4 linked regions of the Oryzias latipes genome follow. The protein of the gene in region 3 purifies or fractionates together with the protein of the main gene of each other region. This does not show direct contact. Links are inferred from orthologs where the notes say so. Each region holds a gene or a part of one and is shown on either strand. Other genes may lie near its edges.

Region 1 (3,714 bases), on a different chromosome or scaffold from region 3:
GGGTGTTTGTGTCCCTGGGGGGTGGGTTCTGGTCCTTGCTCCTGAGTGCTGGGCCCTGCCAAATTTCCAACTGTGGCCGAGCCTGGTCGGGCCATATTTACAACACCCCTTGTGGGCCCTCTTTTTTCCCCGGGGTTCCCCCCTCCTGGGCGGGGGCGGCGGGCCCCTGCCTCGCTCCTCCCTGGACCAACCGTGGGCCGGGCGGATGGCTGCCTGGAGTGCGGAGCGGGTCTCCCTTGGGGGGGTCCTGGCTCGTACCTGGGGTTGGGGCGGGGAGATGCCCGGAACTCCTGGGTGGTGGTGGGGTGCTCGTCTGGGGCTGTGGGCGTCCTTCTCCGGTGGGGCCCTGCGTTGGGTTCTCCCGGCGCGGCGGGGGGGCTGCTCTCCTGGTTGGGCTGGGGCGGCGCTCTCTTTCCCTCCGTGCCTCCCTGCTCTCTGGCTCTGGGGGCCTTGCGGCGGCCCTGCTGGCCCTGGCCTGGGTGGCGGGCTTGGTCGCCCGGGCGGCGGTTGTTCCCTGCCGGTTCCCGTGTGGCGTTGGGGGGATTCCGGCTGCCGCTGCTGGTGCGGTGGGGGTCTTGGGGTGGGGATGGCTGGGCACTCTCCCTCCTTCTTTTCACGTTCCACCCTCCATTTTAGAAGAACATAAACACTCACCTGACCACAGGTGTTAGCTCAACAGACTGAATGACTGAAATATTTCACACTAGTTGGTTTTAAGGCATAAGTATGCGTGTGAACACTATCTGTTTTGTGTACATGTCGACAGGTGGACATTTTTGCAACTAACAGGTGTGTTTATAACATTTGAGTGTGTGTGTGGACAGGCTCCGCCCTTTTTTTTTTACATTTAAACCTTACCATAATGATTAACAACCAGTAAACTTGTTGCTTTATGCTGCTTCATGGTCTTATCCCCCTTCCCCTTCTATTATCACCCCCTACCCCCCCCTCTCTCTAACGTCCCTCTCTCTTCTTCCCCTCTTTCCTTTTCCGTCCGGTCCAACACCAAAGATTTTCAGACATGTTTGAAATTAATAAAGTTTGGCCTCAATTACAAAAGGGGTTTATTCAGACATACCTTTGGTTTGTCTGAAGATTAATAACCCCTCTTGTTAAAGTAAAATATGTCCAACCCAAGAGGCCCTCAGCTCTCATCTGACTGCCCAGCTGTTGGACAGGACAAGTTAAAAAAAAAAAAAAAAAAAAAAAAAAAAAAAAAAGAAAATAGATCAACAGATTATTGGAGTGGGACTTGAAACATGATCATTCCAGATTGTGCAGAAACATTACTTTACATTTAAAGAAAACCTTTTGAATCACTTGTGATCACAATATTCCATATAAATCTAGAAGGACAAACCAACACCTACTGTACTTAGATTGGATGTCCTTAAAATGTACTAAAGTATCTGGTCTAAAGGAATACTCAGAAAAATGAGTCTGAAATGTGAGCCATCATTTGCATCACTGCAGCCAAATAAGCCGCCACTTGATATGGAAACATACGGTCCTAACATTTGAATATAGTGAAACAACTCAAGGCCAGAAGACACACAAGTACCCATGTCATGTTTAATTTGCCGTGTGACTAAATAAACTAACCTGTGGCATTGCAAATGCAGAAAGTTTACCCAAATAGATATTAACAAACACAAAGATCATTTTTTCCTGTCCTAGTTGATCTCTTTATGTGATTTTAAAATAAAATGTGGAATATTCGATAACTGTTATTCACCACAACAGTAAAACAGAGATCACTTTTTTTTTTTTTTTTATAGTCATTTCAGTGATCAAAGACATCTTCACTTACCTCAGAGACTCAATATTCCTTGAAGGCGGGCGCTTAGAACAAGACTCCTCTGGAGCAGAAATAGAGTTCACTTTTAAGTTCATCTTGTCGCGGACCTGATGAGCAAACGGGAAAAAGTAATAAACTGAACAACTGCAGGAGGTCAACAGGCTTACAAAGACCAGTTTATGGAGGTTTTCCTTTCACCGTTTGCTACCAACTGTTGTCAAACTGCATTTCTATATGACATCAAGGACCCCCCTGACCTCAGTCATGAACTTTTCCATGTCATCTTTCCTCTGGAAGACAAACGCACGCAGGTCCTGGAATGCGATGTGGTTCTCCACATATTTAGCGAAGCGATTATCCTTCACGTTGATCTGAAGGTAAAAGCAGGACATTCGTCAAAAATGGTACAAGACAATCCTGACATCATCACTGCCAGAAACAAAAAGGACAGTTGTGTCACATTTACTCTTTATTCTGTGTTCACATGTTTGGAGTCTTAACAAATCAAAAAAGTCATCCTTTTCTGTGGAACTCACCACCAGCATAATGGGTTCATGGACCTCCCCCTGGAAGAGGCTTTTGTTCTGCCGCAGCCACTGAAGGGCAGTGTATGTGTCCCTGTGACGTCCTCGCAGCTTCTCCTCCTTCACATTCATCATATTGTTCATGTCGTTCAGTTTCTTTTCCAATGCTACAGAACAAAAACGTTTTTATCCAACATTCTGCTAAACTTGTTTATGATGGTTCAACATGGAAAACACGGCGCAAACGGGCTGGGACATCGCATTTGTTTGACGTTTCCTGCAGACTTACTTCTGGACTCAGCTATGAGGTTGTCCTTCTCCCTACGCAAATCCGCCTTCTCTCCTTCGATCTTGGCTTTCTCCTCTTGGATCTGCCTCAGCTCCAGGTTGACGGCATTAATCTGTGGCGCTACGTCTGGTTGGTCAGCCACTTTGGCCAACTCTGCTTTTAGGTCATCAATGGCCCGCCTCGTATTACTGATTCGTTTCTGGTGGTCCTCTTCTTCCATCTGCTTCAGTCTCAACGCTTGTTTGATGTCATCTACCTGCACAGAAGGGAGTAAGCTAAGTTCTTCTGGGAGTTTTTTGTTTTTTTATTACGCTTGTTCTGCCAAAAAATATGCATCGTTTTTTGTTTTGTTTTTTACAGATGAGAGCTGAAAGCCTCTTGTGTTGGACATATTTTACTGCTACAATGGGGTTTATGAAACAGTTGACACACTAAGTGTACCTTTATATAAACCTCTTTTGTTATTTAGGCTAAACTTTATTCATCTTACTCATATCTGTTGGACCAGACGGAAAAGAAAAGAAGGGATGAAGAGAGAGGCATGGGGGGGCGTTAAATAGGAGGGGAATAGAACCGCGAAGCAGCATAAGGCAACAAATCCAAGGGGGGGGGGGGCTGTCCACACACACACCCAAATGCCTCCAAAAATGCCCACATACAAGATATGTCAACATGTACACAATACAACTGACGGTCACACACTTATGCATTCGGACCAACCCATGTGAAATGTTTCATTTAATCACTCAAACTATCTGTGCAAAGGTGAGACAGCACCTGTGCTCGAGTGGATCTTTATGTTCTTCTAAAGTGGATGATGAAATCTAAAAAGAAGGAGGGAGAGTACCAAGCCATTCCCACACTAAGACGTCCGCCGCTGCAGCAGATAGAGAACAACTTCCCGCCGGGCAATCACATCCGCCTCCCAGACCAGGGCCTGGCATAGGGGGGCCCAGAACAGAACAGAACAAAAACCTCTCACCTCTTTGTGTTTTCGGTCCAGCTGATCCTGTTTCTGTTTGCACTTTAAAGAGGCTTCTTTGATAGCTGCAGTCTGAAAAACATCAAAAACATCTCATGAATCTTGAGAAAATTATATTTCT
Region 2 (3,714 bases), on a different chromosome or scaffold from region 3:
CTTTGCTGCTGTTATCCGTTACGTCACCAGAAAAGGAAAGGCATAAAAGATCGATTTCTACTTTTAAGGATCAACTATTGATTTATCAAGCTTGGATCAGATCGATTCATCCACCCACATTCTAAAAAAAAAAAAAAAACAGAAATCTCCAATTATGTTGTTCTTATTTAAATACAGAGAAGAAGAAAAGATAGTACAGTTATTAAAAGAGGATGGATAAATGTCAGCAGTAGGCACAAAAAGCACTTACTATAGTTTGAATGCATCGCCTCAATCTCCTCCTCAGAATGATTCTTGGAGAAAACCATGACCTTCAAGAGAACATTTTAAAAACAGTTGTGACTTTGTTTGACCTAGCAGTTGTTTACATGGTGTGCTATGATAGCAGCCTTTGCATACATCTTGAATTTCTTATCCATATAAAGCTTTTGGGCCGCTATAAAAGTGCTAAACCACTTTCAGCTTGTTATCAGTCATTACAGATACACATCACAAAAAAACAGGGTTCACTTCACAAGAGAAGTGCCAAGCTCTCCACCAGTGAAAAGTACTTACAGGTTTGATTTTCCCTTGAAGTTGACTTCTCATCTTCTCGTTGGCCTCCACTTCTTTTGCAATCTCTTCAACTGTTGATAGAAAATGGAGAAAGGTGTGATATAATGAATGGTAGCAAAAGTGTTATGTTCATCAGGCTGTTTTTTTCCTTTTTTTTCTTAACAAAGCACCTGATCAGCTGAGAGCAGGTTATTTGGTGTATTCTTTAGAGCTTTGTAAACACACAATGTTCTTGCGACTGTGCATGTGTGGCTGATGAAAACAACCCAAGAGCACCTGAGGTTGCTGGCTCAGAACAAGATGTACTTTGAGTAACTTTCAGGTACTTTGTCTAGCAGCATACATTTGTGATTTCCAATGTACATTAAAAAAAACATCATAGAAAGAGCACCTACATGAACTATGCCGCTGGGTTATTCCTAGCGGTTTCTTGAACATGTATAAATATAAATACAGAATTCATTTCACCACCTGATTTTGGATTGAGGGAGTCACACTCTGCATTGAACAGATGGATAAAATCCTGGTGCCTCCTGACTAGCTGGTCCCGAGAACCCTGCACTGACAGTTGGCACTCCTTCAGCCTCCTCCTCAGCTCCTGCATTGAAAGTAGGTTGTACACCAGCTTCGCCATTGGACGCCTGGCTTTGCCAAGAGAGCTGAAAAAGACAAATTGACTGTTTATGTTGGGAATTCACCAGGTAATTCCTGAGGCGGATTTCTATGCTAAGTCCCACCATCAATCACCGACGGTCCAGAATGCCGTGATGTGTAAAGCACAAGGGCGAATGTGTGAAGCTGATCCATCATACCACAGCATGTAAACACATTGTATCAGAAAATATTGCAATGTGAGTTTGTCAAACCGACTTGACTCGACGAAACGTCAGGTGTTGGTGCTGCCACACAAAAACACATAAGTGCTGCATAGAACTCTTTAAAAGATGACCAATTCAGAATCTTCTAACTTTCCCATCTTTGACAGAATACACAGGAAGAAAAATGATGGAAACGTTTGTTGTAGCAAATGTGTAAAATTAAGAATCGTTTTCAGCAAAGAATTGGTAATTAACATTAAATGGTTTGACAACTCTGTTGGGTGACGGGACCAAAGAGGATTACAGCAATGCAAATGTTTGTTTCCTTGTTAAAATGTTTGTATTGGAATTGGTTATATTGTATGTTGATTTCTAAACCAAAGGGATACCATACTGAGAAGATGACCTTTAAGGCTGCCTGTGCTTTAAATCAGACAGTAGCTGGACTGCCTGATGTTACCAAAGCCACCCATCAACACAACATTTAGATCACACGCACTAATAACTTTTTTATTTCACAATTTCATGGACAACGTGGAGCTCCCTGAAAAGCAGAGGAAATGTTCCTTGGTTAAACAAGGACAGGATATAAACTGTTTTTGGAAATGAGAGACAAAGCTCTACAGGCTTAGAAGAAAACAAAAAAAGAAACTATTTAGAATGCTGACGTCAGCATTCAATTAGATCCCAGCTTGTAATTTCACATCAATTCTGTATCGACATCAGCCTTTTCTTGATTTGGTGAAACAGAACGCTTCAGGTTAGATTTAGAAAAGCTAACTCAAATATTATCATACAGACTGGACTGATGTAACTATTCTGCTAGAGTTTTACCCCAAACCAGGAGAACTGATCACCTAATCCTGATTTTAAGTCCACACAGAATCTTTTTTTGTCCAAAGTATTGCTCCTACGTTATAAGTAACTCAACGGTTTGGGGTCAAAACGGACATTAGATCCTATTGTGTGTAAACTCAAGAGATCATTCAAAAGCAGTCAGCTGATAGAACCTCTGCTCAGAACTTAATAGGATGAAACTGCCTTAAATCTGCCCACAGGATAGTTGTGGTCTTTGTGTAATTTTTCTCTGTACAAGACTTTGTACAGAGAAAAATTGCCTCACAATTGTTCCCCTTACAAATACACCTGGATCAGCTTTTTCTTCTTCTTTTGCCTGAAGAGGTAAAAATAAAGCCTCAGCTGGTTTGAGTCCAGCTAAACTAAAAAAACAAAAAGTGATTAAACATGCAAACACATTACAAAGACTTTCTGTAATGCTATGCGAGGGCACTGAGGGTCAAACCCCTAAAATCAGGCCCCTTTTCTCCCACTCTGCTTGATGCACTCCCTCATACTTGAACAACAAAAGCTGAAACTCTGATGCTCATCCCAAAAAGGCAGTGAAAAATGCACATACTAGCTTTTTAACGCTTTAAAGCCAATACCCTAACTTTTATTGAGCCGTCACTTCATTCTAAAGAGCTAACATTGATTAAACAACAGTACAGTGTGCTCATTTAGGTGATGTATCGTAAGGGTTCCTTACCTCCGCAGGCTCTCCTTCTTCTCTCCTCGGGTAAGACAGGAGTCCAGATGCTTGTTGATAAAGTGTTGTGACACACTTACAGAACAAACTGGACATTCCACTGAAAAAAAGCAGATAAATATGCCATCACCTATTTCATCGATGCATCTACTACAGGAAACCTTTCTGTTGCTGCACCTGATGGAAAAAAAAACACTTTGGACACTACAGAAAACATCATATTCCCTTTCCTCAGTATTCAACCAAATGAACAGATTATTTTTGCCATGTAGATCAGGTAATTAATTGAAAGCTTTTATGATGAGATTACAGCACATTAAATCTTCTGAGGATCTTGACCCTTTTCTATTCTGGTGCTGCTGGAGCTCCACGACTGATCTAACAGCGATCAAAGACAGATCAAATGTCTTGAAGATGCATTGCTTTTAGCCTAAAGGTAAAAGAACTTCACCTTTGATTACAGGCTTAACATCTTTTGATGGTGAGGGATTTGTCATGTGAAACCTAGAGCTGTATGAAGCCATGTCCTCGTGTTTCACTGCACCGAAGGTCAGAGTGGAGGAGTCTTCCACATCCATTGGTTCTTCCTTTATAACCACTGATGTCCGAAGTTGTCCTGTTTGAACGTTCCCTGAATTGCCAGGTTGTGCAGTCTGTAATTCCCTTGACTGAATATCTTGATGGGCTTCTCTGCCGGACGGCGATTTAACCTTCTTCTGGAAAAAGTGGCTTAGAATGGAGCTGGTGGGTTTCTGGCCTTTCTCTCTGGGAGTCTGACACTTCGCCACTGATGCT
Region 3 (2,634 bases):
AACGAGGGCTAAAAGTAAGTAAAGATAAATCACACGTCATTTCTTAGATCGTACACTAGTTAATAATAAAAAATTTAAATAGCAGATTGAAAGAGGGCTTCCTGCTTATGTTTTTGACAGAATTTAAAGAGGAACTAGCAGCTGTTGAAGAAATATCCAGATGAACTAATCATAAGCAAAGCTGGCCACATAAAAAATTGGTGGCTAAGATGTGAAATTGAAAAGGATCAATGGCAGCAGCAGTGGTATGCCTATTAACCAGGTGAGACCATTTTCCAAAGCAATATTAAGATAGTTGCAATAATAATACTATGACTTAAATATGTTCTTTTTACTCTTAAAAACGTATTTTGTATAATTTAATCTGCAGCCCATCTCCCCTCTATTCCTACTTTGACTTGATCATCTATTTGTAAGAGCTAAAGCTCCTCATATGGCAGTTTATGTTTTACTTCAACTAAACGTGTTTTTTGTTGAGCACACAAAACCCCAACAGCTTCTTTGACTTCATTCAGCTAGCTTCAAAATAGCACAATTAGATGCCAGAGTATACTTAATAAATACTTAGAACATAGAATCAAGTACCAAATTATCTATATTTTTCTTAATTTTTTAATAAAAACAGAGGAATTTTTATCCTAAATATCTTAGCATACACTATCAAATAATTTCAACAATTTTAGTGTAAATCTTTGCACATAAAGGCGAAAAATAATTTAAAAACAATAGTTTTTATGGTTCATTAAAATACAATATTGTAAATTGCAAAATTTTTCATTTTTACTAAAAAAATGGATACAAATATTTTGGTCAAAACTTTAAATTTAAGGGTAAACCTAACCAAGTGTTAAGAATGAAAAGCTGACATAACAACCCAACATGAATAGAATAACATATAACCTGTGTGAAAACAGTGTGAAACCAGTGTCATTTTTTTGTACATATAACTAAATGATACTAGGTCTGAAGCTTTACTAAATGTAATGCAAAAAACAGAACATATTTTTATAGCATAATACATGAGAACAAATACAAATGTACAGTTAGTCTGTTAAAGATCTATTACCAAAAAACCAAACAGTGCAAATAAACATGAGGCAAAGTCCTTTAAAGGTTTACTGACACACAGGTTATTAATGCGTCTCTTCTTGTGAATCAATTGGAGTTGAGTTCCCGGCACTGCCTTGCTGCAGGTCACTAGTCACTGCCTCTTCAACTGTGTTAGTGTCATCCTTGCTGGTGTCTCCTTCGTTGTCACTTGTCTGACTCGGTTCTGGATCGTTTACTTCATCCATTAACCCCTCGATTTTTTCTTCCTCCTCAGCAGTCGTAGATCCTTCGTCTTCATCAGTTGAAAGCCTATCCTGTTCCTCCTCATTCATTTCTTCATCAACTGTGCCCTCTTCCTCGTCTTGGCTGGAGCTTGTGATTTCTAAAGGTATATAATAATCGTAAAGCTTACCCTAAATGAAAAAAAAAAAGGCACAAGCATCACAAAATGAGTCAGAGGACAACCGTAATCAAAACGTGCTGCACATGTATCAATAAGATAATGACTAGCGTACATTGAGTGGTCTCGTCCTCTGAAGGAGCATCTGCCATTTGGTGTAAATCCTCGCAACCAGGTCTTTCAGCTGTGAGAAGAGAGAAAACTATTCTTCACTGTTGAGCCTTACAGATATTTTAAGGGAAGACTTTTAATTGATGAAAATAGTATTAAAACTACAGGTCACTGTTTATTCTAATGACTTTGCCGACTATTGTGAACATGTGCAGCAATAATTCATTAACCCTTGTGCTATCTTAGATGACCCCACCCTTACATTGACGTGTTCTCCCTACCATGACAAAGGTGGAAATATTACATGGAATCCATGGACACCAGAGAAGATCACAAATCATTGAAGAAAAAAGGTTCAGAGCACTGTCTAGTGCAGGGGTCGGGAACCTATGGCTCGCGAGCCATATATGGCTCTTTTGATGGTCACATGTGGCTCGCAGACAAATCTTTAATTATAGTTTTTTTTTTCATTAGACCAGTCCTTCTCGGGCGCGATGCGATGCCAGAGGCGCGCAGTAGTAGCAGTGCTTAGAGAGAGAAATCTGCGCCAGCGCTATCAGTTACTATTATCTATTATTTCACAGAGTTTGTACCAGCTGGAAACCTTTGAATTGACGTGCCTAAAACTGCGCGCTCCCGTCTCTGAGAAAGAGCGCGCAGATGCGGGGACGGGATGTGTGAGGGAGAAAGCAGAGGGTGGGGGTGAGGGGTTGTGGGGACAGCAGGTGAATCGCGCAGGGATTATAAAAACGTAAAACCCACTGCCTGTCACCCACTGCGGCGTGTGAGTATAGGTTTGGCTCCCCGTCTGCATGTGAGCAGTCTGTCTCACATCTACAGAACATTCAGACCTACGATCACGTTTAAAGTCTCAACACCTGCATGAAGCAGAAACTCACCACGTATCAACCAGACTAGACCATCAGCAAAAATACCACGAGAAATACTCATCATTTATTAGCAACAGAATAACAATGTTATTAAAAAGAATCCACAGACTTATTGTACTTTAAAAATGTTGAAATTACATCAAATGCACACATTCATTTGTATATTTAGTTTTAAACATATTG
Region 4 (3,714 bases), on a different chromosome or scaffold from region 3:
GCTTTGGAATCAGTGAAGCGGAGAGGGTGTCATTTAAGGCTAGATAAAACCAGCTGATCTCTTTTCTTAGAAAACAAACGTGTTAAAAGTTACATTGTAGGGTTTTCTTAAGGTCAACGTGAAAAACAACTTTAGGACAAATCTTTTTGAAAGGATCTGTGATCAAGTGCCATTGTTATGGTGCATTATCCATTTTTGATTGATTGATTCACTTTTGAGGATAAGATGTCACAAATAACCTTGTATATTTTGATACATTCATGAGTTTATGGTCAATTCAAAGGCTGCTCTGTATAATTATCCCTCCACCTACATGTTTTTTTTTTTTTGGCACTGGAAGCCACCTTTCCAGATCCTCTACATTGCACATAAATGTATGACCTTGGATGTTCACAGTGGTGTCAACAAGAGATGACACTTTTTTCATCTGCATTGACATTTGACACATTTCCTTTGCATTTATATGCCATAAACTCAACTCACTTGTACATTATGTTACAGGGCAATGCCACACAAGCCTTCCTGAGATCTTTACATCAGTTTTTGAGTGTCCTGCTCATTACCAACCCGCCATGGCTGGCTCTTAGTACAGGGAAAAAATATTACATTCAAGTGCTGCAGTGTCCACAGTGTAAGAATGGCTTGTGGCCTTTTTTAGAGACAGCCATCAGGTAAACTACAAGTCCCATGAAATGTCTTATAAAATGCTATCACATTATTAATGAACAAAGTGATGTTTTGGTTCATATCTACAAATACGTGTGATCTTTTAGGTATTGCCTGTTCGACAGTGCCACTTGTCACCCCCTCCCTGGACCTGGGCTGCCAACTCTAATACATTTCAACCGTGACATTCTGGCACTTTGTCTGAAGATTTTCCAAGGGGAACTCCACTGTATTACAAGCAGGTAACAACTCCAAAGGCCCTTTTCTCATTTTCTTTTATTGTATTTTCAGCATCACAAGGCACACTGTATTATAAGGCGTAAAAAAGGTAACAGAAGCAAAACAGTGAGTTTAGTTGAACTTTATTCCACTATTTAGCAATCCACTCGCATCAATCCTCTCCAACAAGCCCCACAAAGTTCTATTCTTTGATGTCCGACTTTAATAATTTCGCAATTTCTGATCAAATGTACTGCGTTCCCTCTCATTGCCCTGTAGTTGTTCAGCAATGATGCCAGCTTTGTCAAAAGCTCAGACAACAGTTACAGCAGATACTTTAGCCCATGCGACCACAATCCATTAAGGCGCCGCCTCCCAGTCTTAGTAAGTGTGTGTGCGCCATCTGTCATCCATCGCTTCCACGAACAAAGATGCACACCCTAGACTTCTTTTCTTCCAGTAACTCCGGGAACCTTATTTTAAGGCCTGAAGGGGACCTGACGGAGTTTGATCACACACTAAGTCAGCATGACTAAATCCGAGTGACTTGCGCAGTCACGTGCAGCAAACGTACTAGAAAACTATCTGCGTAAACTTTGACTGGATCTTTGTGCAAGAGGGGAGCGGGGACTTCCAGGAAAGCTCAAAATCAGACGCGTGCTCCAATGTAGTTGCATGGGAGGGGGAAAGGCTGTCCACTTCTGGACATGACTTAATAACACAATAATCTCCGGGACTAACAGACAATGGAATGCTGTCAGACAAATCGTGCCCATATTTTCAGGACTGCACATTCGTAATGGTGCAGGGTGTGCCGATCTTTATGTTTAGGTAGCACTAAGGAGAGTTTCTGCAGTACCTTGAACTTTACCTCTGAACACATTGTTTCTTGGAGCAGGGCTATACCCCTTTTACGAGTAACGCAAGACAAACTGCCTTATAGTTCGTAAAGTACGGTATTTTTTATTTTTGTGGTCATCCTAACCTGTCAAAAAAGATCTATTCTAACAAATATATGGATTTCATCTGATGATGGATTCTTACTTCCCTTCACAACATTTATTTTTGCCTCAAGGGTCATTCCACTATAAATGTCACTAATGGAGGTTGTCAGTAATTATTTTTCTTACCTTTCTTTTATGTACCTTTCTGTCCGTCAGAGGTTTCCTACAGGGAACACGAGCGTCCCCTTCTTTATCATCGTCGTCATCAAGCTCCTTGTTGTACAGAACCTTCTGGACTGTGTGGGAGCGCTCGACGTTACTGTCCCATGCTGTGAAACAACTTGCTCAGCTCTTAATCCAGGCTGCAATGGTGGTAAATGGTTTATTTTTTCTTGTTGGTTAAGGAAAATATAGCTAAATCACTTAAAATTTGGTTTCTTCAAAGACCCACTCCGACGAAAACCGTGGTTTTGGTGTGTTTTTTAACACGTTCTTGTGGCATTTTTCTGATGATAGAGGACATTTATAAAAAAATTAAGCTTGTAATTGCCATTCTGGGTATTTCTTCATTCAAATCGTTGGGAATCAGGAGCAGCAGAAAAAAAGCTGTTTAAAGAGGTTGTAGCTGTGATGTAGAAAATTCTATGAAGCAAACCCCAACCCCAATTTCTAAAGAAGTACTGCCACTCTGCTGAAACTATGTCCTGGAAAATGACAGTGTTTTTAAATTGTTTTTTTTTTTTTCAATTTAAAAATAGCATAATCATATTTAAAAGACCACTAGGAATACTTTTAAAGTAGGTCAAAAGGTGATCAGAGTGGGACTTTAAGCTTGTAAAACGTAGCTTTTCAGGTTTACCGAATCCACAGTGCCATGTTGTTTACTCTAATTAAAGGACTATGCTGAGAGAGACGAGAACCTGCATTTGGCAGACATCCTGTTGGACCTGCTCTCTGTGTTGGTAGAGTTCTGGTACCAGCAACACTTCAAACTGAACCAGATTCTGGTGGACAAAGGTTTCAAAGACCTGTCGGAACACCTTGTCATTATTACCCAGGGTATGTAAAAACAACACAAAGTTTCAAAAGTGATTGAATCCATTGTTGATATGGGACTTAACCCTTGTGCTATCCTAGGCACATTAACATGATTGTGGGGTCATCTAGACCCCACAAGACAGTGTGCTAAACTTTTTTTCTTCAATGATATGTGATCTTCACTGGAATCCTCTTCACCTTTATCCACCTTTGTTCTGTTAGGATCGGGTCATCTGGACCCCATAGGATAGCACAAGGGTTAAGAAAACTCTGCAAACGTTTGTTAGTGTTTGTGATTGTTTGTTTATTAAAACGTAATTTCTGACTGAATGCTATCCTGCGTATTTCCTCTGCAGATGTGTCTCCATCTGTTTTAATTGAGTTGGTGGCCAGAGTTCACTCATCCAGGTTTCGTCTGGTGATGGCCGATGCCATGTTCCGGAATCTCTGCTGCAGAAGCGGCTGCACTCTGGGAGACGAACCTCTTTCTCTTAAGAAGATGGTGGGCCTTCTTCCTGTTTGTTTTTTTCTATAATGTATTTAAATACATGATTAGTATTAGGTTTATTAGTGACCGACAAAAAATATTCAGAGATATTGGCAGATTATTTCTGTCTGTCTACAGTAAATGCTGGTAAAAGCCTTTACTTTCTTAAATTATCAAAATTGTGCTTTAATTGGATCAAAACACCACTGATATTTAAAATATATATATTCTGTGCCTTAAAAAGAAACACCCAGAAAAATTCATAGGTTGTAATTATTTTGTTCCCATCACTGAACATCCTTTTTATAATGACATATCACAGAGATGTTCTGCATTAATTAATAAGCCAGTTGAAATATA

Evidence for each region. The genes of interacting proteins can lie anywhere in the genome.
Region 1: the proteins of SMC5-SMC6 complex localization factor protein 2 (region 3) and smc5 purify together in Homo sapiens (affinity purification with mass spectrometry; 3 studies listed by BioGRID and IntAct, with this or other methods). This does not show direct contact. The link is inferred for Oryzias latipes from reciprocal best matches to the Homo sapiens genes SLF2 and SMC5.
Region 2: the proteins of SMC5-SMC6 complex localization factor protein 2 (region 3) and rad18 purify together in Homo sapiens (affinity purification with mass spectrometry; 3 studies listed by BioGRID and IntAct, with this or other methods). This does not show direct contact. The link is inferred for Oryzias latipes from reciprocal best matches to the Homo sapiens genes SLF2 and RAD18.
Region 4: the proteins of SMC5-SMC6 complex localization factor protein 2 (region 3) and slf1 purify together in Homo sapiens (co-immunoprecipitation; 3 studies listed by BioGRID and IntAct, with this or other methods). This does not show direct contact. The link is inferred for Oryzias latipes from reciprocal best matches to the Homo sapiens genes SLF2 and SLF1.

Annotation. Positions count from the first base shown.
Region 1 is NC_019865.2:11,194,176-11,197,889, forward strand, and holds part of smc5 (structural maintenance of chromosomes protein 5), read right to left. Parts: intron 3,666-3,714; coding exon 3,594-3,665; intron 2,868-3,593; coding exon 2,612-2,867; intron 2,490-2,611; coding exon 2,335-2,489; intron 2,170-2,334; coding exon 2,056-2,169; intron 1,906-2,055; coding exon 1,811-1,905; intron 1-1,810. UniProt on the Homo sapiens protein: Core component of the SMC5-SMC6 complex, a complex involved in repair of DNA double-strand breaks by homologous recombination.
Region 2 is NC_019863.2:2,784,898-2,788,611, reverse strand, and holds part of rad18 (E3 ubiquitin-protein ligase RAD18), read right to left. Parts: coding exon 3,371-3,714; intron 3,020-3,370; coding exon 2,920-3,019; intron 1,215-2,919; coding exon 1,027-1,214; intron 627-1,026; coding exon 556-626; intron 312-555; coding exon 251-311; intron 1-250. UniProt on the Homo sapiens protein: E3 ubiquitin-protein ligase involved in postreplication repair of UV-damaged DNA. Postreplication repair functions in gap-filling of a daughter strand on replication of damaged DNA.
Region 3 is NC_019873.2:22,424,100-22,426,733, forward strand, and holds the end of SMC5-SMC6 complex localization factor protein 2, read right to left. Parts: intron 1,635-2,634; coding exon 1,566-1,634; intron 1,464-1,565; coding exon 1,134-1,463; 3' UTR 595-1,133; downstream 1-594. UniProt on the Homo sapiens protein: Plays a role in the DNA damage response (DDR) pathway by regulating postreplication repair of UV-damaged DNA and genomic stability maintenance.
Region 4 is NC_019867.2:15,918,001-15,921,714, forward strand, and holds part of slf1 (SMC5-SMC6 complex localization factor protein 1), read left to right. Parts: intron 1-501; coding exon 502-671; intron 672-773; coding exon 774-908; intron 909-2,045; coding exon 2,046-2,202; intron 2,203-2,725; coding exon 2,726-2,888; intron 2,889-3,223; coding exon 3,224-3,369; intron 3,370-3,714. UniProt on the Homo sapiens protein: Plays a role in the DNA damage response (DDR) pathway by regulating postreplication repair of UV-damaged DNA and genomic stability maintenance.